Linked DNA regions of Coturnix japonica. The protein of the gene in region 5 interacts with the protein of the main gene of each other region in a pairwise test. Links are inferred from orthologs where the notes say so. Each region holds a gene or a part of one and is shown on either strand. Other genes may lie near its edges. The genes, in order: CPNE2, OSGIN1, PARVG, CEP19, REL, PGAP6 and CHAF1A.

Region 1 (3,500 bases), on a different chromosome or scaffold from region 5:
AAGCACTTGGATAAACCATCTGGCCTGGACAACGGGACTGAACAAAGCAAGTTTGCCTGGCTGCACGCTTTACTGTGACTTGAAAACCAAGGGCCATCCTACCAACAATGCAAGCTCTGGAGACACTAGGAAGGGAAAGAAAAAAAACAGAACACATCGATTGCTTAGCAACAGAACTGGTTTAAGAGGAATCGTTCTGGTTGCCTGGTAAATAAGGTCAGATTGCTTTGTTCAGAAAGGCTTATGGTTATACTGCATGTCATACCCAAAGCAAAAACTGGCATTATCTATATCCACGAGGTTGGTGCTTCTTCGTCTGGAAAGATGGGCCCTCCTGTTTGATATATAAACAAACTCTCATTCAGTTTCAATGAGGGCTAGAGGCAACAAGCCAAGAACACTCAGCACTTCTGAAATACTGAATTGAGGGGTATCAAAACTGTCAGCCCAGTCAGGAGACATTTCCAAACAGCAGCCACTGAAGTAATAAATCTGGCTCAGAACATTGTTTTTAAGACATGATAGTACACAAGTCCTGCATTATGAAGAATTCCACATTCTGACAGCAGGGAAGCTGAGACACGGGCTTAACCAGCAGGGAGTGACACAGCCAGGACCTGACTCCAGACCTCCAAGCTTTCTACATAGAGACAGCTTTATGACACTACTGTACTCACAAGCAGAGATCTCCTTAGATTCCCTAGCCTACAAGAGACAGAAGTTTAACATTTACATCCTCCTGACACATCACAACTCACCTTTTTATCCAGTTTCCTGCCAGCCATACTCAGAGTAATCACCCTGTTGTCCGACAGCTCTTGAGCAGCTATCTGAAAGACAAGGGGAAGCTGTGTTCATATTTCATACGAAAAGTCAGTGAACACTGAACTAAGGAGGGCAATCCTGCAACATGAGGATGCACACCTTGGAGCTGTGCAACTCCTACAGAAGTAATTCTCAAGTTTCTCAAGACCTAACATACACAATATCCCACTACTGGAGAGTTAAAATGATTTTGCCCAGGGTCACACAGCTGCCAGCAAAACAACCACCAGAGCCAGACTCATGCAGCCAGTTCTGTGCATCACTGCTGCCCAGAGTGGGGCCATGTTCATCCACCATCACCCATCAAGATGGCCCAAGGACAAAGACCACTGCAGCTCCTGATGGCTGTAGCAGGCACAAACGCAGCCCACATTACTTCAGTTTCAAAGATTTTTCTCACACACCCTCCAAAATGGCTTTGACTGCCAAAGACCAGTGGGCTGGTTTTGTCTGGAACACCGTCTAATGAATCTCCTGGTATTTTAAGAAAGCAAATGTTTATTACAACCCCCCCCCCAGCTTTTATTCATTTCTGTTAGCAGTTGCTTTCTGAATCACTTGCATTTCTTCTCCAGGCTGTGTCCTACCCAAGCATCTGCTCCCCACCTCCCGTCTCCTGTTCTTCCCTTTCCCACAGCATCACTCCTCCACACAGCCACAGGTGGACATGCACGATGGTCAAAGTGGTATAAGGAACAGGTGCTGCAGGGAGACAAATTACCTTTGCAGACCACAGCAGACCCAACCTGGAGTCCCTGCAATTTTGGGCTCTTCAGAGGCCAAGGTAGAGCTGGGCTGCACATACAAACCATGGTGACATCTCCCTATGGAAACTAACAACCCCAGTGCTTTGTAAAGACCTCAAGATTCATTCCTACAGTGATGAGCTTTGGGATTTTCCACACCTTTCAAACCTCAGGACTCTCACTCAGTCCCAGTACTCCAGCCGAGGCATTTCTGTTGCACTCAGCCCAATGACATTTGTGTGTTGCAGTTAAGAAAATGGACCTAGATAAAGCTGAAGGGACCATGGGTGAGGAAAGCAGAGCGTGGGTGAGGATAGCAGGGTTTGGCTCCCAACCCTACATTCTGTGAGCACAAAGAAGATTGTCTCAGTTGGTGCTGGCAGCATTAACCCCAGCGCACAGCAATGTGTCAGGCTTGGAGGACCCAACGCTGCCAGCACACAAAGCAAAGAAGCAGACATCCCAGCCCCCTTAGTTCTAATGATGCATTAGTGACAGATCAGAAGCTTCCTCCTCTAAAGCTGGAAACCTTTGAACTTGACTGGAAACTTTTCAACTGCTCCAGTTCTTCCTGCTCCAGTAGCAGGTATGGGGCAGCAAGAGCCCACTCCTGGGGAAGGCACACGGCATCAGGTGCCCACTGCAGGCTTCAATGCAGCTTCCCCTTCTGCCTTTAAAGATTAACTGCAGCAATTAAGAGAGAAAAGCTAACAGCATCTTCCCAGTCTCTAGAGCAAACAGCCATGGGAGATGGCCTTGCAGCAGGCAGATCTTGGTCTTTTAAAATGGTTTTAGACCCATCTGGTGCTTTTAGACCTGCCTGCAGTTTAACTCCACGTTGGCCTTTTCTTCTATACCTTCGCTTCTCTAACACAAACAAACTGGAATAGAGAAGTGAACGAAAAGGACAGGAGATGCGGCATGGGGGGAAAACGAGCCTAAATTTAGTCTCTTCTTTAAAATAATTAAATAAATAGAAATCACTAAATAGATCCACAGCAGGAAAGCCACTGCCCGAAGGGGTCTGCAGCAGGAGCAGAGGCTGTTGCTATGAGACCTGTTGCTACGGCAGAACTCTCATCCTCTTCCTACAAACAAAACCACTGACTGTCAGCAAAGGAATCGGCCCTTTTACCTTTGGCTGCTCCAGGGAGGTCTGAACAAGCGTCACGTACGAGATAACAACCAGCAGCTCATATTTACTGCGTTCTTCTCTAGATTTAGCATTTCTTATTTTAGCGCTCAGAGACAAAAGCACAGGCTGAAGTCACCAGACAGGGACTGGGCAATATAATGTCCTCCAAAGAGACCAAAGGTGGGAAGGAAAATGGGAGGCGAGGGAAAAAAAGGGACAACAACCCCAGCCCTGCTGGTGTTCTGCATCACCTGCAGTTTATTATCTGCATTCACACACTCCATGGGTAAGGTAAATGAGTTACTGTACCGTTATCATCCCTTTCCCAGCTGGCTTGCCATTCCCCAGAAGGAGAGTTCTCGTTATTTTCTTGCTGGAGACAATCTAGGAGAAAAAAAAAGACCACAAAAAATAAAGTCATGTGATCAAATGCAGACTCATAAGCAACTGATCATTGCTCATGTTAGTCAATTCACATTCAGTATACACGGTGGTAAAAGAAAGATCCCACATTCAGAGATGGCCACGATGCTGTCAGTGCCACCACTGCTGCCCAAGAGCCCTGTGAGCTTTCCCCACAGATTGCAGAGCCCCACGCAATGACTTGCTGGAACCAGCTGTGCTCTTCTTCCATTCCCACCAGCAAGCCCTTCCAAATCTATGGGTTACAGCTTAAAAGCACAGCCCCATCCATCCTTCTGTCTCCACCCTTGGTCCTATGTCACACAGCCAGAAAATAATAATTAGAAGAAAACCATAATGAAATGGTTTAGCTTCTAGCTGTTGCTATCTAA
Region 2 (4,020 bases), on a different chromosome or scaffold from region 5:
AATTGGCACAGTGAATTTGCAGGAAAAAGGCAGCATTACTGCACAAGAATAAAGCCATTCAGTAATTAGTGTGTTTGTGTCAGAAATGCCTGTTGGTCTGTGTAATTCCTTTTATATCTCTTAGTTGTCCATTTTCACTCACAGCAGAGCTCAAAACTGAGCATAGGTCCACAAAAAGCAATAATTCAGAGCTACTGTGGTGTGAGTTATCCACACATATATTCAGCATTGAGCAGAATAAGAACCATGATCCCCTGAAATCTCATTCAAATCATTTTCTTAGGAATGTCAATAACAGTGTTCGCCTGGCTCTTCCTCCAAACCTACTGCACTAAAAGTTACTGTTACTGCTTCACATGCAATTTTTTTGCTCTTGGTGTCCTTTTTGCAGCTCTTGCCTTTATAAACCAAATATCTATTGCTAGAGTAGTAATGAGAGACTCCAGATTAGTCCTACACCCTTATCAACAATGATCACACAGAAAGAACATACTTATGATTCACTCCTGTCAGACTGGCTGCAGCATGCCCCAATTTTTCTGCTTGTCAACAGAGAAACTGCAGGCATGAGAAGAAGGATGTAGTTCTGATTCTCAGAAGTCAGTACTTATCTGGATTGAAAATGCTAAATTTGAATCATTGAGTAAAACCTCTACCAAAGAGCTTGTATGGATATCCAACCTTTGAAATACCTGGGTCACACTGAATGAATTGTTGTGTTGGCCTGCACATAAAATATATATACAGTACAGTTAACACAAGTAATAGCACTTTTTTTTTCTTCTCTTTTTTTCCCCTTTAAATTAAAACATAAAAAAAGAAGGCAACATGAACACAAAACTAATGGGATATTTGATGATGTTTTTGTTAATGTTCTTGGTGCGTTCCCAAGGTGCTCGATATTGATCTATTTCTTTCTGTGCTTCATCCTCGAAAGCAGTTGTTACAAACATACACACTGCCCCAAAGCAATGGTGTGAATAAGTCAGAACTGTGAAACAAGGCATATTTCTCCCTGGTAAGATAGGTCTTATGGAAGTCTAGTAGAGAGACATGATCAGATTTTTCTTTGAGTTGAATGTCTGATTGCAACTCTATACATTTCATTTGAAAATTTGCAGGTAATGTATTTATGTTGACTGAAAATGGAGTTGCAAATATACAAAAAATTGATGATTTTTTTTTAAATCTTGAAACCTATTCTCAAATTCCTTTATCAAAATGGAAAGCACAGCTGCATATTTTTCATTTTTCACAGGACTATATTTGGCCAATGTATTGAAGTGCATTAAATTATTTGCCATAACTTGAACTTACCAAAATTTAAGTTTCATTTCAGATGTGGTCATGGTTTGACACATATCACAGATGAGTTGATTTTCACATTGAAGATGGCTGTTTAATTCATTTAAATGAGTGGCCCTCATCCAACCTCATCCAACCAAAGCTGTTAAATCACTTAGCCGTTTTTCATCTTCAGATTCTTCCTTTTAATTCCATCCATGTCTTTATTTCATTTTGCAAATCAAAAGAATATTTTTAGCATTTTACTCTGCCCTAGGCCACCTTACTTCAGAAAAGTAAATAATATCTCCCTAATCAGCACCCATACTTTAAGGAACTGCTGGATTGGTCAATCCCTTGAACTTTATGAAATTCACAGCTTTGATGAAGATTTGGGAAACATTATACATTTTTGAAGCTTCTATGCATAAGTTCTCTTGATGTATGTTGCTGTGATATTTCTCAAATGTGAGCTGCTGATTGCAACTGCATCATCTTCTATTATTTTTACAAATCCCCATTTTTTGTTTAACAAACATCACTGAGGATCCATCCGGAGCTGCAATGGATATGTTAATAGAATCATAGAATGGCTTAGGTTGGAAGGGACATTAAAGATCATCGAGCTCCAACTCCCTGCCGTGGGCTGGTTGCCTTCCACCAGCTCAGTCTGCCCAGGGCCCCATCCAGCCTGGCTTAGGGCACCTCCAGGGATGGGGCATTTACAGTGTCTGAGTAGCCCGTGTCAGCACCTCACTACCCTCTGAGTAAAGAGTTTCTTCTCATTTAGTTTAAAGCCATTTCCCCTTGTGTCCTTTTCCCCCTCAGAACATGTAAAAAATTGCTCCCCTTCTGGTTTATAATCTGCCTTTAAGCACTGGAAGAACACAGTGAAGTCTTTCCTGAGTTGCCTTTTCTCCAGGATGAACAAGCCCATCTACTTCAACCTGTCTTTATAGATGTGCTCCAGCCCTCTGAGGATCTTTGTGACCTTTCTTCAGATCTGTTCCAAAAACTCCCCTTCTTTCTTCAGCTGGCAACCCTAGGCCTGGAAATTGTACTGAAGCCAGACTGACTGGAAGGTCCAATCAGATTGGCATCCCACACTCAGCACTGGGCATTAACTGACAGTCACTGAAGGTAAAGAACAGTATAAGCACATGATGCATATCTTGTACCTTCCCTTGCCTCCAAATATTTGCAAATGGGACAACTGGCTGAAACCTGATAAGGTTTGTTCACTTGCCAGCCCCTTCATTCAAGTTGTTTTCATCTGGATTCTGGCAATTTCACACAGCCTGTAGTCTTTGTATTGGATGGGAGATTTATAAAACCGATCCTTTCTGCACCAGTCATCTCTATAAACTTCTTTTATATTCCACTCTGTTTTCTGACTTATTCCCAAGACATAAACTGTTCCATACCTTCTGTCAACCTGGCTTGTCTCCTCTAGACCTCTCCCATTTTTCTTGTCCTGGCATGAGAGAAAGAGCGCATCACAGAGTTCTTCATGCACAGATGAGCCATAGGGTTATGCAGCAGCCTTTTGGTTTGGCTCCCATCCTTTCCTAGCACTGGATTTTCTTTGCCGCTAGCAAGCACTGAGCCGATGCTTTCACAGGACTATCTCTGATGACCTCAGATTCAAGTTCAAGCTAGCTCTGGCTCAGCTTCCTCATCTGGACTTGTGCCACAGTGTGAGACAACACAAAGAAATTGGGCAAAAGTGTGAACTTATATGATGGTGCAGAAGCATTGCAGAGTTTGTTTTTCAGACCAGTGCAGTCACCCATGTGCCTGATAAAAAAGCTGAGTGGAAAGCCTTGGGACTTTCTGACTACTACTTGCTCACAAAGGAACCTCAGTAAAATTGAAGGGCTAATGTTTGGGAGGAAACATGCTCTCACCTTGTATATCAGGAGGGAGGTGACCTTTAGTAAACACAGCAGAGAAGCACAGAGAGCTCATATTGCATTCCACACCCTGGTCAGATCTCAATCTGCGCTTATTCTCTCACCTGCAAAAAAGTGTATACAAGAAGAGTTCATACAAGGTCACTCCTGGGTTTCCATCAGAAGTGGCTGCTATTTATGCATATTTGAAAGAGATGGAGTACATACACAGCTGGTGGATGGCCTGAACCCTGAGCTTGCCTGGAAAAGACACAAAGGATTCTAAGCAGCACTAAGGTAACAAACGTGATCTCCAAAGTACTCCAAAAGATGCTGAGCCTGTGAGAGTCAAATGTTAAATGTGTCTACTTCAACACTGCAATGTTAAAACAGTTTGCATGCAGGCTTCCTGGGAAAGCAGCCTTTCCTGCTGACCTTTCTTTTGAGTTTTACTTCTTGAGCTGCATAAAAGCTTTTCTGCTTGAGACCATGGAAAGAAAGCCAGAAAACATATTTATATAAATCTCTCAGCAACAAAAACGAGCCATGTGGCACTTGTGAACTTGTTTGTGTTTGATGTCTTCAATATGGAAAGCTGTAACACAAGCCTTAATTCCTAGATTTTCTTTTGTTGCCCAGGTTACAATTAAAAATCACACAAAGGAACATGCTTTCTTTCTAAAAGGAATTTTCTTTTTTGTATATAATTTAGCAGAATCGCTGCCATTAGTGCATGAATATGCCTGACACTTAAACTGTTCAATTCAGCCTGTAAATATTAAGTACAGCTATTTCAGAAAGTTAAAAATTGCATTCCAAAGAAGCTTTGCAAAGTAACAAGAAC
Region 3 (4,016 bases), on a different chromosome or scaffold from region 5:
TGACCTAATAACTACAGATCAATTTCCCATGTTTTAGTTGTTCCTACTCCCTCTGCCTGCTGATAAGAAACTATATTTCAGAAGTACAGCATTTCCATTAGTACTTCTTTTTGATTTTACTCCCTACATTTCTGGGCTGTGGCATGCACTCCTACATAGCATAGAACGTACTCTTAGTCTTTTCTGAGCTGATGAAATGTGCTTTTTTCTGCTTAGAGAATATGCTAAGTTTGTACTTCGACCACTAGACAGAATCACACAGAATCACAGAATGATTCCGGGTTGGAAGGGACCTCAAGGATCATGAAGCTCCAACCCCCCTGCCTGGCAGGGCCACCAAACACACACCTTTACTAGATCAGGTTGCCCAGGGCCCCGTCCAACCTGGCCTTGAACACCTCCAAGGACGGGGCATCCACAACCTCCCTGGGCAGCCTGTTCCAGGACCTCACCACTCTAGAAAGGTTTGGAGACTGAAGTTTTGGAGGTAAATTCTCCGTTATTAAGAATCCGTAACACCTGGGAGTCTGTTTTCATCTCACTTTCTTTCATCCTATTTAGCTCATGCAGAACTATTAGTTCTCATCTATGGTGTGGAGCTAAACACAGAAGTCAGTCCCTTAATAGTGTTAAAACAGACTGGCTTAATTAGCGTGGCTGTCTCCTGTCTTGTTCTGGGATTTCATTGAGGACTGCAGAGCTATTGCTTTTTCATTCTGGAAGACTTAACAACTGCAAGTGATACCTGGAAAAGATGTCCAGGGAAAGCAATGGCTGTGGAGAGCTTTTCCTCTTTAATCACTGGTAGAAAAGGAGAGGCAGAGTATCAGATCTGCTTAGCAGAGGTTACGCTTGTACCAGATGAGCGTCTGGGGCACTGGTGTGACTAACTGGCTGTCCAAGGACAAATGAGCTCATTTCCTTCTGCCTAGGTCCCCCTTCTGCCAGGTAGGAAGAAAAGTGCTGATCTGCCTTATAAAAAGCTTTAAGGACCATGAGTAAGAGGTGTAATGTACCATGATGATTTTATCTGTCACTGGATCTTTTATTAAAGGCAAAGAAAACATGCAGCGATGTGGACTAGCAAACGATGTGGTGCTATGAAACAAGGACAGTACCTTGCTTAATACTTTCTGGCATTTCAGGAGTTGTGAGGATGCATGCTTCCTGCATTTGTATTTCTGTTTATTGCAGTCACCAGCAGGAACTGAGCACGCAGACAATGAAGTTCCGCTTATGACTCTGCTTTCGTTTTCAAGTACTGTCAGTGCGGAGTGGTGCAGCTTCCACCACGCACAGTGTGCGTGCTTTGTGCTGCCCTGTGCAGTGGAACCGAGCCCCTGTGCAACTGCATCGCGCTGCTGTCTGAAGAGCTTCAGGAGAAATACTGAAGAATTGAATTGTAAGTTTGGGACTCTTTCAGGGGGAGTTTTGGTGTTGTTTTCTTCAGCTGTAGAGCTTCATGCTTTCGCATGGATTGTTCTTGCTGAGACAGTGTCTCTTCTGATGCCAATGACAAAATATTGCTCTTTGAAAAGCCTGATACTGAGCAAGGAAGCAAAAGTAAGTTTTAAGCTGGGTGCATGGCGCATGTTCTCTCTCTTGATTTATTCTGCTTTTTTGAAGGCAGAAGTAGTATCACCAGCCATCAAAACTGGGCTTTGTTCCCTGTTTGTGTGATCTGTTTAGAAAACTGTTCGTAGGAAATGTGCTTGTGCTGATGCAGAGCAGGGCTTTTGTCTTGTTGGGACAGGAAGTTCAGCAATTGAAACAATTTGGTAACGTCGGTGAGTGCTTGTGTATATCCAACCGTCGATTCTGATGTTGAGGACCGCGGTCCTCTCACCAGTGCTTTATATCACACATCAGGGATGATGTCAGACTGTGAGAAGACTGTGAGAAGTGAGGTGAGCTGAACTGGCTCACTAAAAGAATGAGTTGGTTTATCTGTTGTCGTTACATTGCAGCATGATGCAATGTAGTCCAGTTCTCGGCCTAGCAAAAAATTCACTCATCGGCACCACGGCAGGTGGTGCAATAGGAATACAACAGCTGTAGCTTTTAAAGTGAACAAGCTGTGACATCTCAGTAAAAGAGAACGAAGGACCGCATAAAACCATTTCGTTTGAATAGTTTACAATGTTAAAGCTCAATTTTATTAAGAAATTCCACTGTGAAATGCCACTGCAATCAATATTCAAACAGTTGTCTCCTAGAATGATCTCTCCTCCTAATAGTGATAAATAATTCATGCAGGAGGCCAGAGAAAAATAGCCTGTCAGTAACAGCTCTGGATAGTGAACTTGAGCGCTATGGGAAGTGTGGAAACTTGCAGGTGAGAATCAAATCTCCCATCCTTTCCAATTTCTCATTAAGCAATTAAACCCAAGGAGGAGTCCAGATCCCATTTTGTTCTGTTTCACGCTGTTTCTGCAGCAGGTTATCTTTTGAAAGGCCACTACCTAAGATCAAGCCTCACAGCAATGAGACTTGTCACAAGAGACTGCTGAAGTGCGCTAATTATTAGTAACGAGTAATGAGTCTATTAAATGCTAAGGAGCTGCAGTTCTTAGCCTCCGAAATGGCTTTTGGAAATCAGTGTAGGTGAACGCAAAGTGAAACATGTAGTGGGAGAACACAGTACTGATTCTACGGATAAGTGATGGGCTTAGAGCAGTGTTGGTATTTAGGAATAAGATCTTGGAGTTTTAATAGACAGTTCTGTTCACGTGTCAGCTCAATGCTCAGCAGTGATCAGTAAAGCAAACGATGATAGGAATTAGAGGAAAGGCATGCAGAACAATGCAGAGGGTATTGCGGACACCATCCTAAACCCGTGCAGTTCTGTTTCCTAGCAATTCAAATAGGATGTGGTAGCATTGGAGAAAGCTCATGGGCGGGCTGGGAAGTTCATGAGAACTAAATATTCTGACAGCACCAAATCACTAGGACTCCAGTTTTGGTTTAGAAAGGCTGAGCAGCAGGGTATTGTAGCTTGTGAGATTGTGTTAGGGAAGTAACTTGTGAACGCTTGCTTTGTTTTCTTTTTCCCTAAGCATCTGACTTTGGGTGCTGTAAGGGACAAGCAGCATCCAAATTATCTCTGATATCGGGTGAGACATTTTGTCTCACCCAGGATGGCCATTTTACCATTCTGACCAAGTGCGACACACAAGACCTAGTCCTTGGAGTGCATTAACTTTAGCTAGTGTGAATTCTTAATTTCAGACCCTTTCCTACAGGCTTCCAAATATTAAAGGTAGCTTTCTGACAAACAGATGAAAGGATGTGGCAGGCAGTATGCCTTATTTTGATGTGTAAATATCCAAAGGAAGTGCAAGGGATGTGCAAGTTGAATATTGCAGTGAAGTTGAGTTGGTAAGTTGTGGTTTATTACATAGGGCTTTAGAGTAAAACTGTCAAAGGCAAAACAAGTGCCAGAAACCTAATTTAAGTTGGACTTGAGTTTCTCTGTACTAATTACCTCTTTTCTCCTAGTTTGTCACATCTAGACAGCCTCATCTTAGATAGTTCAGTTGCTTCCCAGGCACTAAATGACTCAATTTCTCTTAAGTATCTTAGTTTATTATCCACGTTTCTAGTGACAGTGTTCAATTTTGCAGCCGTAATGACAGTAATTGCCTTGTGACTCTTTTTCCTTGGTCATTTTCTGGGCATTTTGTATCTAATTTGTTTGCAAGACCGATATACAAAAGTATTTAATTGCCACTTCCTACCAATAATCGTGGCTTGCCAAGATCAGTGTTAAAATACATGTTTGTAGTGGACTTTGACTGGAGCCTTTAATGAACACTGAGAGAGTCTGCAGAGGAGAACATTAGGAGACATCTTTGCCAGACCCTTCTTCATAGATCATTGCTGGTGGCAGTGAACTTCAGTTTGGTAGGACGTGTGGAGGGTTATACAGATCCCTGCTCCCACAGCTCCATTCCCTGCCTTCTGCTGTCCTGCACTGCTCCTAGCCATTTTAGAAAAGCCTGCCTTTAATATTGTTT
Region 4 (3,007 bases), on a different chromosome or scaffold from region 5:
GAAGAGGGGCAGATCTATTTGGATCTGTCAGTGAAGCTTCAGCCTTAGGGTAAACCACTAAGAACAGAAGGACTGGGATGCTGACCCCGTCCCACACTGCACTGGTGGTGGCACCACTGCTGGCAGTGCCCGCTGTGCCAGTGAGACAGAACCTCAGACCTCAGGGATGTACAACAACTGGCCGAAAGACACAAGAATAAATTATATTTCTGGTAATGGTGTTTTATCTGTTTATCTCTCCTGGTTACCACATGCTTTGTGGTCAATGGGGTGAGCTCTGAGCATGGAGCTGCAGAAACAGAGCCAGGCACAGCTGTGGAAAGATCTGGAGAAGGCCATCACATCCACCCTTTCACGTGGCCATTTTTTGTCCCTATTTCAGATAGAAATAGCCAAAAGCCATCTACTATCTACACAGGTACCTGCTGGGGGATCACTCAGACTATTTCAGCCACTCTTCTGCTTGTGAGCATCCCCAAAGTGCTTCCAAAACTGACTTGTTTTTGAAATGCTCAGGTTTTTTAATGAAGGATTTAACCTGTGCAACCTGAAATGGCAAACGTGGCCTCTACTGAGGGAAGGTGAGAGTGATATCCTCAATGAGACACTGATGTATCCAAACGTATATTTCACATTCCAACCGAGGTGGTGATAAACACCACAGGCACCCAATAAAGTGTATTATTGCTTCCAAGATGTAAATACTTAACATTTCATTTTCAGATAAAGCTGAAGAGAAATCACAGGAAAACATGGTGAGGTTTTCAGCCAGATGGAAACAAAGGAAAGATAAATTAGTTAAATTGGGGCACTCCTACGTTGGAAATGAGTAAAACAGCCACCAAGTTCAGCTGTCTCGTTTCAGCTTTCTCAGTTCAGCTCCTTACACTGCATATAAACCTGAAACTGCTGGAATATCTTAGGCCTCAGATTCTCCATGGCCAATTTCAAGCCACACCAACAGGAGATGCTGCAGTGGAGGGAGCAGGATGGCACTGTTCTCTCCTAGGAATATGGGATCTGTTTCTGCCCATCCAGCTCCTCTCGGTCTGCAATCAGACTTCTTCACACGACTCCCCATCCCATCCACAGGACTCCAGCTGCTCATCCTGGGGAAACTCCACCTCGATGTCATAGACAAAGTCCGGGTCGTCCTTTTTCTTCCTGTTCTTTTCGAAGAGCTCGTCCATGATGCGTTTCCTTTTGGCTAACTCCTCATCGTCCAGTTTGTTCATGTCCTCCTCGGGGTCAATGTTCTGCTCCTGCTCAATCTTCCCCAGGCTCTCAGCCAGGCTCTCTCCCCTCAGGTGGCCTCTCAGCAGAACGTGCAGCTTCTTTAGCTGACACAGCGACACTCCTTCCAGGTAGGCTTTGTGCCGAGGGTTATTCTTCAGCTGCTCAGCAGCGACGCCGCAATCTAAACACAAAACCACCGTGAGGAGTTACAAGGGGCAGGCGGATCTCTTTAAGTAGAGATATGGAGTTGAGATGGAGAGGAACCGGGGGAGAACCAACACACCTGAGGACTGGGAGAAGTTCCTGACGGGGATGATGCGCCGCCGGGTCTTGTCGTTGTCCCTGTAGATGAGGATGACGGATGGCGGCTGGAAGCGGACGCCGCACTGCAGCGCCGTGCGGCTCATCCTCCTTCGGGCTGCCCGCTCCAAGTGCCTGAGGAACGCGACTCAAAATGGCCGCCCGAACCATCCGAGTGAATCGGGCAGCGCCGCGGGCAGCCCCGGCCGTGAGGTGAGGCGGGGGTTCCAAGATGGCGGCCGTGCGGTGGCGGTGGGCGTTAAGCGCGTTGCTCTGTGCCTTCCGTAAGTATAACGCCGTCGTGCCGTCAGCAGCCGCGCTGTGCTCCCGGTGCCGCTGCTCACTCGGTCTGTGCCGTTTCAGACGCTCAGGCCGCCTGCGTGAGGAGCGCCGTGTCTCAGGAGCTGCTGAAGGAGGGATTGCACAGGTGAGGCCGGGTTTGCCTTCACACGGAGTCATAGAACGGGCTGGGTTGAAAAGTACCACAGTGATCATCAGTTCCGACCCCTGCTGTGTGCGGGGTCACCACCACCAGACCGGGCTGCACAGAGCCACATCCAGCCTGGGAGCCATCGTTTCATAGACATCTTAAACTGCGTTTCACTGCTTTCCACTCTGTTGAAAGTTTCCCTCTGACAATTCTGGATTTAGTAGCTGTAAGAAAGGTAGATATCCATGAGAACTCAAATTTAAAGTCAGTATGCTTAAACAGGATCTTACTGAATGTATCAGTTGTCGTAATGAACTGTATTGGAACAAAGTGGCATGGTTCCAAATGTATAGGCATTTTCTGGTGATGTTGATTCTCAATGTTTTAGCTAAAATTGGAATATAGGTTGGTTTAGGAAATAAATGAGCATCATAAGGATCTGTTTTCATATCTTTCAAAGACATTAAAGAAGCATAGAACCTTTTTACAATTATTATTAAGTTGTCTTGGACAAAATTAGTTCTGGAAGCCCCTTATTTCTGAGGTTCAGATATGTGAGTAGTTGGAAAATGTACTGTAGACAACAATCCTCAACACAGATGTAGATAATTTCTATTTGTTTCTTAATTATTTCTTTCAAGCTGAGTGATGGATCAAAAGTAGTTTTTTATAGTGAGTATACTGTTGTAATAGCGTACCACAGCAGGATCATATCAGTTATAGGTACCTTCACTGTTCTGCCTGTCTCCTGGGAAACTTAATGTGACCTGATATAGGTGTTCCTGCTCTGGCAGGAGGATTGGACTAGATGATCTTTCAAGGTCCCTTCCAATCCCTGACATTCTGTGATTCTTTTCACATGCAGTGCGTGTGTCTGTGATTCTTTTCTCACATATTTAGGATCTATTGCTTGTTCTGTGTGGGCTGCAGTCGCACTGTGCTTTCTGGGGTTGTCAGCAGCACAGAGCAGCTGGTAAAGCCGAGCTTCACTCTTGGGATGTGCTACACCCATCTCTGAGCATTTGACAGTTTGACACTTGG
Region 5 (3,500 bases):
AGAGGGGTGGCCAGCAGGGATAGGGAGGTGATTGTCCCTCTCTACTCTGCTCTTGTGAGGCCCCATCTGGAGTATTGTGTGCAGGTCTGGAGCCCTCAGTACAAGAAAGACAGAGAGAGCTGTTGGAGTGGGTCCAGAGGAGTGCCACAGAGATATTTAGAGGGCTGGAGCACCTCCCCTATGAGGACAGGCTGAGGGAGCTGGGCTTGTTCAGCCTGGAGAAAAGAAGGCTGTGGGGTGACCTCATTGCAGCCTTTCAGTACCTGAAGGGAACCTATAAACAGGAGGGGAGTAAACTTTTTGAAAGGGTAGATAATAACAGTACAAGGGTAAATGGTTTTACACTGAAGGAGAAAAGATTTAGGTTGGATGTCAGGGGAAAGTTCTTCACTATGAGAGTGGTGAGCTTCTGGAACAGCTGTCCAGAGAGGCTGTGGATGCTCCATCCACCTCTGAGGGTGTTCAAGGCCAGGTTGGATGGGGCCCTGGGCAGCCCTTAGATACAGAGGTTGGTAGCCCTGCCTCTGGCAGGGGGGCGTTGGAGCTCAATGATCCTTGGGGTTCCTTCCAACCCAAGCTATTCTATGATTCTATGATAATGGTTATATGCACATCATTGAAATTCTGCAAGTATCTCTTGAGAACTGCCCTTCAGAGAGCCCTAACGAGTCAAAGACAGGACTTCTCAACAGTAGGAACAGACAACATATCCATCTTATGGCAGCTATCTATCTCATTACCATTTTAATTGTTTGGCATGCCAGAAGCAAGCTCATCCTTGCAGCCATCACTGTGTATGTAAACAAGGGTGAATAAAGCACCAATGAGTTGGCTTGTGGCAGGAACAAACAATTCTACTCCAGCCTACCAGCACGTCACTCTGAAATCATCTAAGAGGCGTGCCGACTATCTTGCTATGTGTGTTAAGAGTGTATCAAACAATCTCAAACCAGCAAAGTGCCCCAGAGGGCTGGCAAAAAGCTCAAAGCCTCAGAATCTGTCCTGGTGCGAGGGGGGAGCACATTTGACTGAGTCATTACTTACTGTTGTCATAGATTGGGTTGGAAATCAAAGGAGGAAGAGCTAACGTGTAGTTGCCGTGTTCATCAGGGAGGAAAGCTTGGAAACAGAGGCGGACAACGTTGAGATCGTACTCATCGATGTTGTGCAGCTGTTCTTCAGGCACTAAATAGCAAAAGGAAATACAAGACTGAGAAATAGTCTTCAAAAACAACAGCAATTCTTTAACAGTCTGGTGTTGTCTCCACCAGTAAAAAACAAACTGCCAAATTTGTGTTTGTTGCCAAAGCAAAGAAAGTGCATCCACATCATTCTCTAGTGCTATGCATGAATAAATTCCTTGTATACAAAAAACACCACAAAAAAAAAAGGACCTTAACACTTTTCCTTGGTCACACAAGGCTAAATCTGAAGCAAAAAACAAAAACTTCCCTTCTAAGAAGTCAGTCTTCTCCCCACCATCATATTTCTACGAAGGCTTTTCTCTGACCAGACCATCCCATGGGTGAGTCAAACAGTCTCAGCTCAGCTGCCCCCGAGCAGCTATGGCTGGAAGCAGGAAGGTGACCACACAGCACAAAGCAGACAGTCACACCAACCAGGATACCGCCACCTTTGCCTTCTCCCTCTCTTCCTAATCGTAAACTTGTTCCTTGTCTTCCTTGCTTACTAGTTTCCTCACCTTGCCTCCCAGACCAGTTTCATGTATTTGCAGTCATTCGCTGGACACATCTCTTACTTGTGCATGATATTTAATAAAGGAATGCCCCTGGCAAAGAGAAATCCTTCAGTACAAAGGAGTCCTAGGATCTAGCTAAAAATTTCCAGCAAGTGAGAGATTTCTGCTATGCAATAACCATTATTTTCCTCTAGAAACTGAGATGGAAAATAATTCAGTTTTTGGGACAAGAATGAAGCTTACACAATACAGACTATCTACACTTTCCAGCAAAACCAGTATCACTTTTGAACCTGGGTACAGCAATCAGTGGTGTCTTTATGATATACTTCTCTAATCCAACAAGCAAACCCTTGCTGGAAACAAACTGTTTCCTCGCAAATTAATTTGAGTGTAAAACACAATAAATAACTCCAGCTCAGCAGATCATGAGTTCATTTATTTTAATTTCAGAACACAGGGCCCAGGATATCATCATCAAACATTTAATGCATCCAATCCTAGCTTCATGGCTAACTGGCAGAATCAACACTATCTGAAATCAATGCTTTTCTTTAAGGTCCAGCATTAAACTATTGTGCTAACATTCAGCGGTAGCTAAATGAGACTCTGATTTGATCTCACTTCAGTAAAGCACTAGTAATTAAAATCACTGGGAGTAGTTCTCTTCCAAAGTTGTTCAACACAGCAGTTCAGCTCAGTCAGACTGTAACTGCCTAAAGTGAATGCACACCAAGTCAGCAGATCACAGCCTCTGAAGTTCACTCCCTCCCCAGCCCTTTCAAAGGCCTCTTGCAAGAATAAAAAAGTGAAATGCACTTGCGATAAGAAGCGTGTGGATCACGTTGTACTGATTAGACTGCAATGCTCTGACCTTTAGCTTTTATCACCGGGTTGGTCTCCACCCTGCCATGAGTGGGATTCCACATCACCCACTCAAGTGATTTCTTCCTTTCACCTTTTGATAGCATGAAACAACCAATGCTCTGAGCTCAGAATACTTTCCACTGGCATTTTTAGTCTTGTGTTTTGAATATCTCCATTTCTTACAGTTTCTATAGTAAAAAGAAATCAAATCACCTTTCTGCTTTACCAGCCTGCCATCAGCAGTCTTAAGACAAATCCAGTCAGTTCAAAACTAAGCGGCAGCTTTGAATGTAGTCCCAGAAATGCCAGGACTCAGGGAAGCTGTCAGCATGAACTCTGTAGGCTGCTGGTCGTCTCTATTACCAGATATGCAGAGTGAAGTTCCCACAGCAGCACAGCACCACTGGGAACACAGGGGGCAGAACACTGAACATATGCAGCTTACACCAGAAAGCCTGTGAGTCTGTACTGACACAGCATGTGTGACGTTCACTTCCTGTCATTCTCTTAATCTTCCTCCTTCAAACTAACGCTGAAGCTCTAATAACTTGACTCCACAGCATTTGCTCTCAAGGATGCTGCAGACAAGCCTATTCCTGGTGTAGGCTCTGGTGGTTTCTCCCTTCAGGTGCTCAGCTGCTGGCTGTTGGAGAAGGGGGCCAAAATACACCTGATGGTGACTTGGTGGTTAAAACTACACTTCAGAATATCTTCACGTTTGGACAAGTTACTAGGTAGTTAAAATGAGGTTTCTGAGCCTCAACACTGCTGAAATAGTTAATAACTCATGTCATATCCCAACTGCCTCTTGATACAGTCTGATTGGGGTGGGGTGGGGGGAGTGTGTTCTTTATATTGCAGCTTGCACAAGGTATTATCAAAAGTTTAATGTTAATTTGCTCCCAGCAGCTCAGATGACTCTGATCCACACTTA
Region 6 (4,256 bases), on a different chromosome or scaffold from region 5:
CCAAATGAAGGGACCTGGATTGGTTGTACCCCAGCACAGGGCAGAACAAACTCCAGCTACTGTCCTCAGGTCAGGGTTAGGTCACTCTTTGGGACAGTAAAGAGCAAATACCATTGAAGGGACCCTTCAAGCAAACACAGATGTGACGGCAGTGCAGTACGGGCTCCCACAGTCATGAGTGGAGGAAGGAAATCAGCTGTGCTCTCCTACAAACCCAGTCTTATTTCACGCATAGGAACTACAGAAAAGAGAAGCCTTTAATCAGCAGCTTCTTTGCACCCAGTGGCACTCTGCACACACACAGCGTATTCATTGCTGGATGTCCATGGTGACATTTGGGTGCCAGCACAAGCCAAGGGTAGACAAAGACAGAGTAGTAAAGCCTGGACAGCCATGGTCCTGCCCAAAGCTCACACTGGACAGACTGATCAGAGATGAACTGTTCCACCAGCACCCAGCAAAAACCCACTTCAGCTCTCCAGCCAAACTGCATGGCCAACAGCACCCATCAGCAGCTCCTCACCTTCAAGGGGCCACAGAAGAAGAAGAATAACTTATGAGGTGTTGTAGGGAGGAGCAGAGGGCTGTCAGAATTAAGAAGTCAAGCATGGGTCACATTAAGGATGGGTCAGTTATATTGACTGAGGTGAGCTGCAGTTACAGCCCAAGGGAATGGCACAGAGCTGTGTGACAGCTGACAATGTGAGCACATGAGCCTGCAGTACAGCAGTGTGGACAAAGTCCAAGTACACAGCTCTGCTTGGAGAGAACCTACCAGGGCCACAGCTGCACTCCCAGGTTTTGCTATGCTGGGCATCCAGGAAACAAGATGAGTTGATTCCCACTTCACCTGGTTTGAGAAGGAAATGCTACATGAAGATATAATAGATTATTAGTAAAGAAAAGCCAGAAAGACGGGTCATGTGCAAGTGAGGCATGTGCTCCTGCTCCCTATTTGCATTGAATATTGCTGTGCTCTGTATGTGCCTGTTTCTACCCTGTTCTGAACATTCTTCAGAAGCACAGCAACACCTTGGGAGTCAGACCTGACCATCCAGCAATGCTCAGAGCTCTTTGAACTGAACAGGGCAGTTGTGAAATCCCTGTGGGAAAGGATGGAAACAACATAATTTGATGCTGAACAAGAGCCTCCTTCTAAAAGTTTCAAACATAGGACGCAAAAAGCAGGAAAAATTTGAAGAAGACAAACAAAACATGAGGAGAATCACAGATGCACAGAGGAGACACATTCTTTGAATGTCTGAATAAAGAACCACCTGCGACAGCTTGGATTTGTTCATCCAAAGATTATATCATTCTGCTTCTAGACATGTTGACCGCTGGTTTCAGAGCTCCCCATGAGAAGGACGAGGTCCCGGTTTCAGAGCAGATGCAAATATCTCTGGGGCTTCATAAGAGCCAGCACTTCACAAGCCAGCAGGCTCAACCCTGTGCAGAGCTTAGGTCAAGCAGCAATTCCAAAGGGACATAAAGACTGAGAACCCTGAGTACAGCTACACAGACAGCGACCAGTCTGACTCAAGACAAGAGATGACTGTGGCAGGCTTTTTGTGTGCTATTTATAATGTAACCCATGTCAAAGCCACATCTTGATGTATCCCAAGACTCCTCACTCCTCTCAGGAGGATCTGATCCTTAACAGTTCTCAGATCCAATGAGGAATTCACCTGAATTGGCAGGATGACGCCAAGAAGAACCCAATATCACACCTTGAACACAGGGGAGGTACCTGAGGGCTGGGAACCCACCCAGCAGGATGCCAGAGTAGGGTTGGCCTGGGGCAAAAGTGACATCTCACCCTGGCGCCAGCAGCTCCCTGAGCAGTCTGTGGCTATCTGAAGCATGGGAACCACTCTCAGCAGCTGATAACCACAGTTACATACACCTACCTCCACATCAGGGCGAAGAGAGCAAACATGCTTCTCAGGACAAGGTACAGCCCTTGGATAGCACAGCAGAGCCCCTGCCATGCACACAGCAGAAGCTTCAGGCTCACGGCCACAAGGATCAGCCCTTGCACCTTCGAAACCATTGCAACTGCTTCCTGCCCATTCAGAGCCCACTCCTGCCCATCCGCCCCAACCACCACCGCTACACAACGAGGGAAAACCTTAAGAGTCATAGGATGGCTTGGGATGGAGAGGACCTTAAGGACCATTCAGTTCCAACCCCTATGCTGTGGGCTGGCTGCCCCTCACACTGTGCAGGACCCCAATGACTGACCCTCTATGCATCCCAGTATGGGGCACCCACAGCTCACTGGACAGCAGTTCCAAGGTCTCAATGACTCTGAGTAAATAAATCCTTCCTAAAATCTTACCTAAGTCTCTTCTCTTTCAGTTTAAAGCCATTCCCCCTTCTCCGAGCACTATCAAGCCACGTAAAAATCCGGTCCATCTCTTGCTTACAAGCTCCCTTCAAACACTGGGAGGAAACACTGAGGTCTGCCCAGAGCCTTCTCTTCTCCGGACATAACAAACCTGCCTCCATAGAGATGTGCTGCATCCCTTCGGTCCATCCATTGCCCACTCATTGCCCACAATAAACTTCGCCACGATGCAGCCGCAAGGGGATGCGAGGCTCCATCACGGCCGCCCCCCCCCTCTGCCCGCACTTACCGGCCCCGGTTCGGTTTCCTCGGCCCTCGGGCAGCACCAGGAGCTGCAGTATCGGTAGCAGCAGCGGTAGCACCGGGCCGGCTCCCCGTGCCATGGCCGCCCCGCTCTATCCCGGCATCGCCGCCCGCCGCCCGCCCCGCAGCGCCATCATCATCGCCGCCGTCTCCGCCACCTCCCGCTTCCGCCGCTCCGCCCCGCTCCACCCCCGGGACAACCGGCTACCACACGGAGCTGAGCCGGGCCCAGGGGGGTCTCGGTGGCCGTCAGGGAGCAGGGGGCGGCCCTCATCGTGGGGACGACCCTCGGGGTGACACTGCTCCCATAGCCCTGTTTGTCTGGTTCTGGTACAAGCAGTTAAAAAGGCAGAGCTGGGTGGGAAACCTCCATCCAGCTCCAGCTCCAGCCTGGCTGTGTTGTGTCTGCCTTGCAGCTCGTTGCCTAAGTGAAATCACAGTGATAAGGGATCTGGGAAGGAAGATGACAGTGAAGAACTGCATCTCAGGGACGTGGGTCAAAAAATCTGAGAGCTGTAGACTTCAAGATGGCAATATCAGACTTTATTCCTTCATTGAGGGAGAGTGAGGAAAGGTTTTCCATTGTAGTGTGTGGGTGATGCAATCCAGCAGTGTCTCAGGGCTTTTCCCATGCATCAGATTCACGGCAGGTTTGCCTTTCTTGCTTTGCTCTGGGAGCTCCACCTTTGGTTGGCCAGGCACCAGTTGGTTCTTAGGATGGCTGTGCAGTTCTGGCCTCTAAATCTGTGTCTAAAATGGACACAGTGCATGCAGAGAAAGAGCTCAGATCAATTGAGATGGCAAATGAGATGGGCATGGGGAGCTGCAGGATGATGATGGTCTGGAAAGACTGGGTTTGTCAGGAGAGGGCACAGAAATGGCCTACTTTACACAGTCATAAGGGGATATGGATCTGATGCTCACTGGATTCTGCAGTACTGGAATTAAAGGCCATCAATGAGTCCAATAGATTGGTCTGAAATGGATAAAAGGGACTTCATGTGAGGCAGGGAGGGAGAATGAACTTCTGGAACCTGCTGCCATGGGAGGCTGTAGAAACAAATGGGGTCAGCAGGTTTATAAACGGGTGAGTAAATTCATGAACAACAGGTCAATAAAGAGATGCTGAAGGCAACATGCAGGAACTTACTCTATGAAATCATCAACTGCTGATGCAGGTGTTGGAGGAGCACAAGCTAAAATGGCGAGGCTTGTGTGCTCCCCAGTGCCATCTCCTATTGCTGAACACAGCGCTGGGTGAGATGAACCAACCATCAGGTCCAGCAGGGACATTTCTTATGTTCTCTGTGTCCCTAAGCACATTCAGATCATCTCAGGTGGCTGCTGTGTGGTAGGAAGACGTGTCTGCATGTCCATTCTGTATTGAGAATCAGATCAATCCTTAGTGGACAACATCGACTGACAGAAAAGTGCTGTTTCTTCATTGAAAAGGGTAGCTACTGGTACAGCCACAGTGGAAACCTGGCTGGATCTGATGACCAGAAGGAGCTGAGCAGAAAGTTTTTCTAAGATATTGTCTGTGGCATTAAACTTTTTGTGATGGCAGCGAAACACAGACAATGTTTTAAGTTCTGGTAATGCT
Region 7 (4,042 bases), on a different chromosome or scaffold from region 5:
CAGTGCAGACCAGCACAGACATCCCACCCCAGCAAACAGAATGAACAAGGTCAACCTCACCTTGTACCAGGCAAAACCAATCACTTGTTGACATGATTACATTACATTCAAAGTCAAGAGCTCTCTTCTGTTCTGCTGTACCAGGAGAATGGTACAGCCTAATTCAGTTTGTATGTGCATTTCAAAGTGATATCACAAGTTTTAACAGCCTGAAGTCAGAACCAGGTAGTTCTCTGTACACCTGGGAACATCTGCCTCGTTTTCCCTTCCAATAATGCAGTTAAATGCAAGCAAGGACAGCAGTCAGAGAGCTCAGTTGAACTTAGGGCTGTACAGGTATCACAACTGAGTGTCGTGTACCAGAGCATCCTCCCTTTACACCTCCACCAATCTGCTCCCCAGGAAGACTGAGCACTTTCCAACCACTCAAGTCACCATTTCAGCCATCTGTTGGCTTTAAAGCCTCCCTTTCAGCACGACACCAAAAGTCACAAAGTTCAGAGGTCTTTTGTTACAGAGCAGGCAGTGACCAGAAGCTACAATATATCCCAAGCCCCAGCACACACAGGGCTGTCAGATCAGAGGCATCCCATCCCCTCCAGCCCTCAGCAACATCTCATTGTCACAGGAGCACACAGTGACTTATCCCTTAAGCACCCCCATGCTGGACAGGGCACACAAAATGGCTGACAGCACAAGCCATACACACTTAATTCCTATTGAGACTTATTTAGCTCGTTCTCTTTCTTCAGAGGGAAAACTGCACTTGTGTTAATGCCCTGTAGTTTCACTTAAAGTGCTTTTAACAGCCTGGATTCAAGATCTCAGAGCTGCTGCTGGAAACAAGATGGCCCACAAAAAAACCCTCAGCAACAGAGAGAACAGAATGGAGGTTATGAACCACTATCTATTGTACAGAACTTGTTTTGAGCTCTGTCCCTATCCCAATTAGTAAGGTGTACATCCCAAGGCATACACTTCATGATCACTATAAGAACCTGTAACAGGAGCTTAGAGCTGCACTCATGCTATTCAAACATAGCAACTCAAAACCAAGACTTAAGCCATACAGTTTAAAGGATTCAAGAGGGTAATCATTCGCTCACATTATTAATAGATGGACAACACATTCCATCTGGTCTCACAATCTTTGCAACTGATTTATCCTTTTCATGACAAACAACCCGTCTACCATGTAATAAGTCTTAAACAACCAAGAAAAGAGACCAACCTTCCTAACAGGCGTTGAGACAGCTAAAGGACTAGTGTTTCTCTTGGTTTCTGCAACAGGCTGCGCCTCAGGGGAGCTCACAGAGAGAGAGCTCAACGAGGAATTAGTAAGTACAGAGTCTCCTTCATGGGACAATTCTACGGTCTCATTTTCTGATGTGACACTTCCATCCAGAGAAGTGACTTGGGGAGATTTGGCAGCCATAATATCTTCAAGAAGCACTACGGGCATCTTCCCCTCAAATATGATGTCCTTCAGTTCACCCTGATTAACCTTCGTGTTTTCCAAGTTGTTACACTCTGTCAACTCAGAACAAGACTGGATTCCATCTACCAGATCTTCACCTTTATTTGCAATAGCTTCGCACCGCACGTCAGTCTCCATTGATTCATCAGTTTGGTTGTTCTGAGTGGAATTCAGGCAATCCAGCTCGTTCATATCTTTTCCTATCACACCATTAGTCAGAGTTGCAGTAGATGCTTTTGAATCCAAATTAACATGGTCTACATCATCACCGAGTCTTTGATGGGATTCATCTACCGAGTCAATAATGACGATGATTTCATCTGTGTTATCTTTTGTGCCCTTCTGTATAAAATAGTCTAACGGACCCTTTCCGTTAACGAGTTTGGGAACAAAATTCACATCTGAATTGAGCTGGCAGTCATTCTCCATATTGTCCATTGATGCATGCGACGTGTCTGTGGAGGAATCCTTACTTTGCCCCAAGCCACCCTTACAACTCTTTCCTTTCTTGCCTTCTGCTTCTGCATCATCTTTCTCCTTTGGTACGGGATTCAGGCGCTTGAAAGGCAACCGAGCTGCAACAAACAACATTTGGCTGTTTAAGTCACAGCAAACAAATCACTGGGGCAGGGGAAATAGAAGTTAATGTATGGCTGTTAAGGTAGTTGGCTGTTAAGCTGTAGAATGAAACCAAACTACAGCTATAGACAGCTCATTACAGCCAATATTCCCAGACCTGGAGTGTTTTAAAGGCATTAGGGCTTTATAGGAGGTGACATAGGCTCCCCCACGGCCTTACCTTGCACGAGTCTCCTCGGAGGAACAACCGCTTTGTCTCTGCACTCCATGGCTACAAAAGAGAAACAAAAAGAGCCCAATGAATGGCCGGGCCACGCGAGCAACACCCAGAGAGCACAACCAGCTCCAGGCCGAGCCTGAGGGCTGAATAAAGCCAAGAGATGAGGAAACAGCCCCGCTCAGGGCCTGGACCTCAACGGGGCCTAGCACCTCAACGGGGCCTAGCACCCCAACGGGGCCTAGCACCCCAACGGGGCCTAGCACCCCAACGGGGCCTACACTCTCAGGCCTCCTTTGTTACCTCAGGAAGGCCTCACACCCCTGGAGGCCCCATGATGACCCCCAGGCCTTGCCCTACCTGCCATGTTGAGGCGCCACGGCTCCAGCTGTAGCCGAACCGAGCGGTTCCGGCCCGTTCTGACCCGCTCCGTCCGGTTCCGGCCCGGCGCCTCCCGCTCGTATTTGGCGGGAGCCGGGACGACCCCGCGCCTCTCCGCGCTGATAGGCTGATAACACCCACGTGACTCGCTCATCCGCCCGCCCTACCTCCGCGAGGCCTGGCCCCGCCCCCACACCCGCATTGGTCAGAGCGATGAGGAGCGCTGATTGGTAGGCGCAGTTGTCACTCTCGCTCGCTGGATGCGCTGATTGGAGAAAATAGAAGGCAGGAGGAGCATAAAAGCTCCCTCACCCTTAGGCCTGAGGTCGTGCTGCTGTGGGGCAGCAGTGATGGCGGAGCAGCTCTATGCAGATCAAAGCAGTATTTCTCTAGTAACGTAGGGCTGGGGCCTCTCAGCGCACTAACTCAATGAGTGGGCCGAGACAGTGCGCAAAATGGCGGCCGTGTGGCCAACGAGAGGCCTAGTTAGTAGGAAGAACTAGTATAAAGGCTGCTGGGATTGTAGGCCGCTCTCCCTAGCGCCCGCTCCATTCACCTCCCACCCATAGACAGCAACGGCACCGCGGTGGCGCTCCGCCAGGCCGCTAGGGGGCGCTATGCTCTGCCGCTAGGGGGCGCTCCGCCAGGCCGCCAGGGGGCGCTGTGCTGTCTCTTAGGGGCGGGGCGGGCCGTGCCGCTTCCTGGCGGCGGCGACTGGGCGGAAACGGCGGCGGCGGCAGCGGCCGAACGGGCAGCGGGTGGGCTCCGTGTTTGCCGAGTGTCACCGCCCCCACCCGGTCCTGCAGGCAGCATGTCGGTGGCGGGGCTGAAGAAGCAGTTCTACAAAGCCAGCCAGGTGAGGCACCGCGCCCTCCGTGATATCCCTCCGCTCTCGGTGTTACCGGGGGTTCGTTATCCCCCTCCGTATCGCCGTTCTCCGTCCGGTATCCCCGTGTTAACAAGCCATTGCTCCCCTTGTGTCCTTATGTTCTGCCTTGGGACACCCCCGGTGCCCCCTCCCGGTCTGTGCTGCTTGCCCATCCCGTTACCGGCGCCCATCCCTTGGCCAAAGCCTCACACAGCTCCCGTTGGTCGCTATGGGCTCCATTGCCATCCCCGATATGGGAACTGATCCCACACTGTTGTGGCAGTGGGTCACAGCACTCCTGGTTCAACCCCTCCATTGCCATTAGGGACCCTCCATTTCCTCTATGATGGATACGAGTCACCCCTGGTTCAACCCCTCCATTGCCATTATGTACCCTCTATCTCTTCTATGATGGATATGAGGCACCCCTGGTTCAGCCCCTCTGTTGCCATTAGGTGCCCTCCATCTCTTCTATGATGGATATAAGGCACTGTTGGAGCTCTGTATGCTATCAGTGTTG

The links.
Region 1: the proteins of REL (region 5) and CPNE2 interact in binary tests that used the Homo sapiens proteins (3 or more experiments, as listed by UniProt). The two-hybrid records come from large-scale screens. The link is inferred for Coturnix japonica from reciprocal best matches to the Homo sapiens genes REL and CPNE2.
Region 2: the proteins of REL (region 5) and OSGIN1 interact in binary tests that used the Homo sapiens proteins (3 or more experiments, as listed by UniProt). The two-hybrid records come from large-scale screens. The link is inferred for Coturnix japonica from reciprocal best matches to the Homo sapiens genes REL and OSGIN1.
Region 3: the proteins of REL (region 5) and PARVG interact in binary tests that used the Homo sapiens proteins (3 or more experiments, as listed by UniProt). The two-hybrid records come from large-scale screens. The link is inferred for Coturnix japonica from reciprocal best matches to the Homo sapiens genes REL and PARVG.
Region 4: the proteins of REL (region 5) and CEP19 interact in binary tests that used the Homo sapiens proteins (3 or more experiments, as listed by UniProt). The two-hybrid records come from large-scale screens. The link is inferred for Coturnix japonica from reciprocal best matches to the Homo sapiens genes REL and CEP19.
Region 6: the proteins of REL (region 5) and PGAP6 interact in binary tests that used the Homo sapiens proteins (3 or more experiments, as listed by UniProt). The two-hybrid records come from large-scale screens. The link is inferred for Coturnix japonica from reciprocal best matches to the Homo sapiens genes REL and PGAP6.
Region 7: the proteins of REL (region 5) and CHAF1A interact in binary tests that used the Homo sapiens proteins (3 or more experiments, as listed by UniProt). The two-hybrid records come from large-scale screens. The link is inferred for Coturnix japonica from reciprocal best matches to the Homo sapiens genes REL and CHAF1A.

The regions. Positions count from the first base shown.
Region 1 is NC_029526.1:1,800,084-1,803,583, forward strand, and holds part of CPNE2 (copine-2), read right to left. Parts: intron 3,091-3,500; coding exon 3,016-3,090; intron 831-3,015; coding exon 759-830; intron 1-758.
Region 2 is NC_029526.1:89,129-93,148, reverse strand, and holds the start of OSGIN1 (oxidative stress-induced growth inhibitor 1), read right to left. Parts: upstream 2,801-4,020; 5' UTR 2,709-2,800; intron 1-2,708. UniProt on the Homo sapiens protein: Monooxygenase catalytic activity. Involved in regulation of cytokinesis; promotes RHOA activity, probably acting locally at the midbody in late cytokinesis.
Region 3 is NC_029516.1:63,627,635-63,631,650, forward strand, and holds the start of PARVG (gamma-parvin), read left to right. Parts: upstream 1-1,216; 5' UTR 1,217-1,402; intron 1,403-4,016. UniProt on the Homo sapiens protein: Plays a role with ILK in promoting the cell adhesion and spreading of leukocytes.
Region 4 is NC_029524.1:3,567,003-3,570,009, reverse strand, and holds CEP19 (centrosomal protein of 19 kDa), read right to left. Parts: upstream 1,668-3,007; 5' UTR 1,644-1,667; coding exon 1,520-1,643; intron 1,418-1,519; coding exon 1,056-1,417; 3' UTR 501-1,055; downstream 1-500. Other genes in the region: PIGX (phosphatidylinositol-glycan biosynthesis class X protein), read left to right, coding at 1,769-1,820, 1,900-1,963. UniProt on the Homo sapiens protein: Required for ciliation. Recruits the RABL2B GTPase to the ciliary base to initiate ciliation.
Region 5 is NC_029518.1:5,487,017-5,490,516, forward strand, and holds part of REL (proto-oncogene c-Rel), read right to left. Parts: intron 1,186-3,500; coding exon 1,045-1,185; intron 1-1,044. UniProt on the Homo sapiens protein: Proto-oncogene that may play a role in differentiation and lymphopoiesis.
Region 6 is NC_029529.1:10,721,681-10,725,936, reverse strand, and holds the start of PGAP6 (post-GPI attachment to proteins factor 6), read right to left. Parts: upstream 2,801-4,256; 5' UTR 2,734-2,800; coding exon 2,640-2,733; intron 1-2,639. UniProt on the Homo sapiens protein: Involved in the lipid remodeling steps of GPI-anchor maturation. Lipid remodeling steps consist in the generation of 2 saturated fatty chains at the sn-2 position of GPI-anchor proteins (GPI-AP).
Region 7 is NC_029543.1:1,626,062-1,630,103, reverse strand, and holds the start of CHAF1A (chromatin assembly factor 1 subunit A), read right to left. Parts: upstream 2,801-4,042; 5' UTR 2,641-2,800; coding exon 2,634-2,640; intron 2,328-2,633; coding exon 2,277-2,327; intron 2,053-2,276; coding exon 1,232-2,052; intron 1-1,231. UniProt on the Homo sapiens protein: Acts as a component of the histone chaperone complex chromatin assembly factor 1 (CAF-1), which assembles histone octamers onto DNA during replication and repair.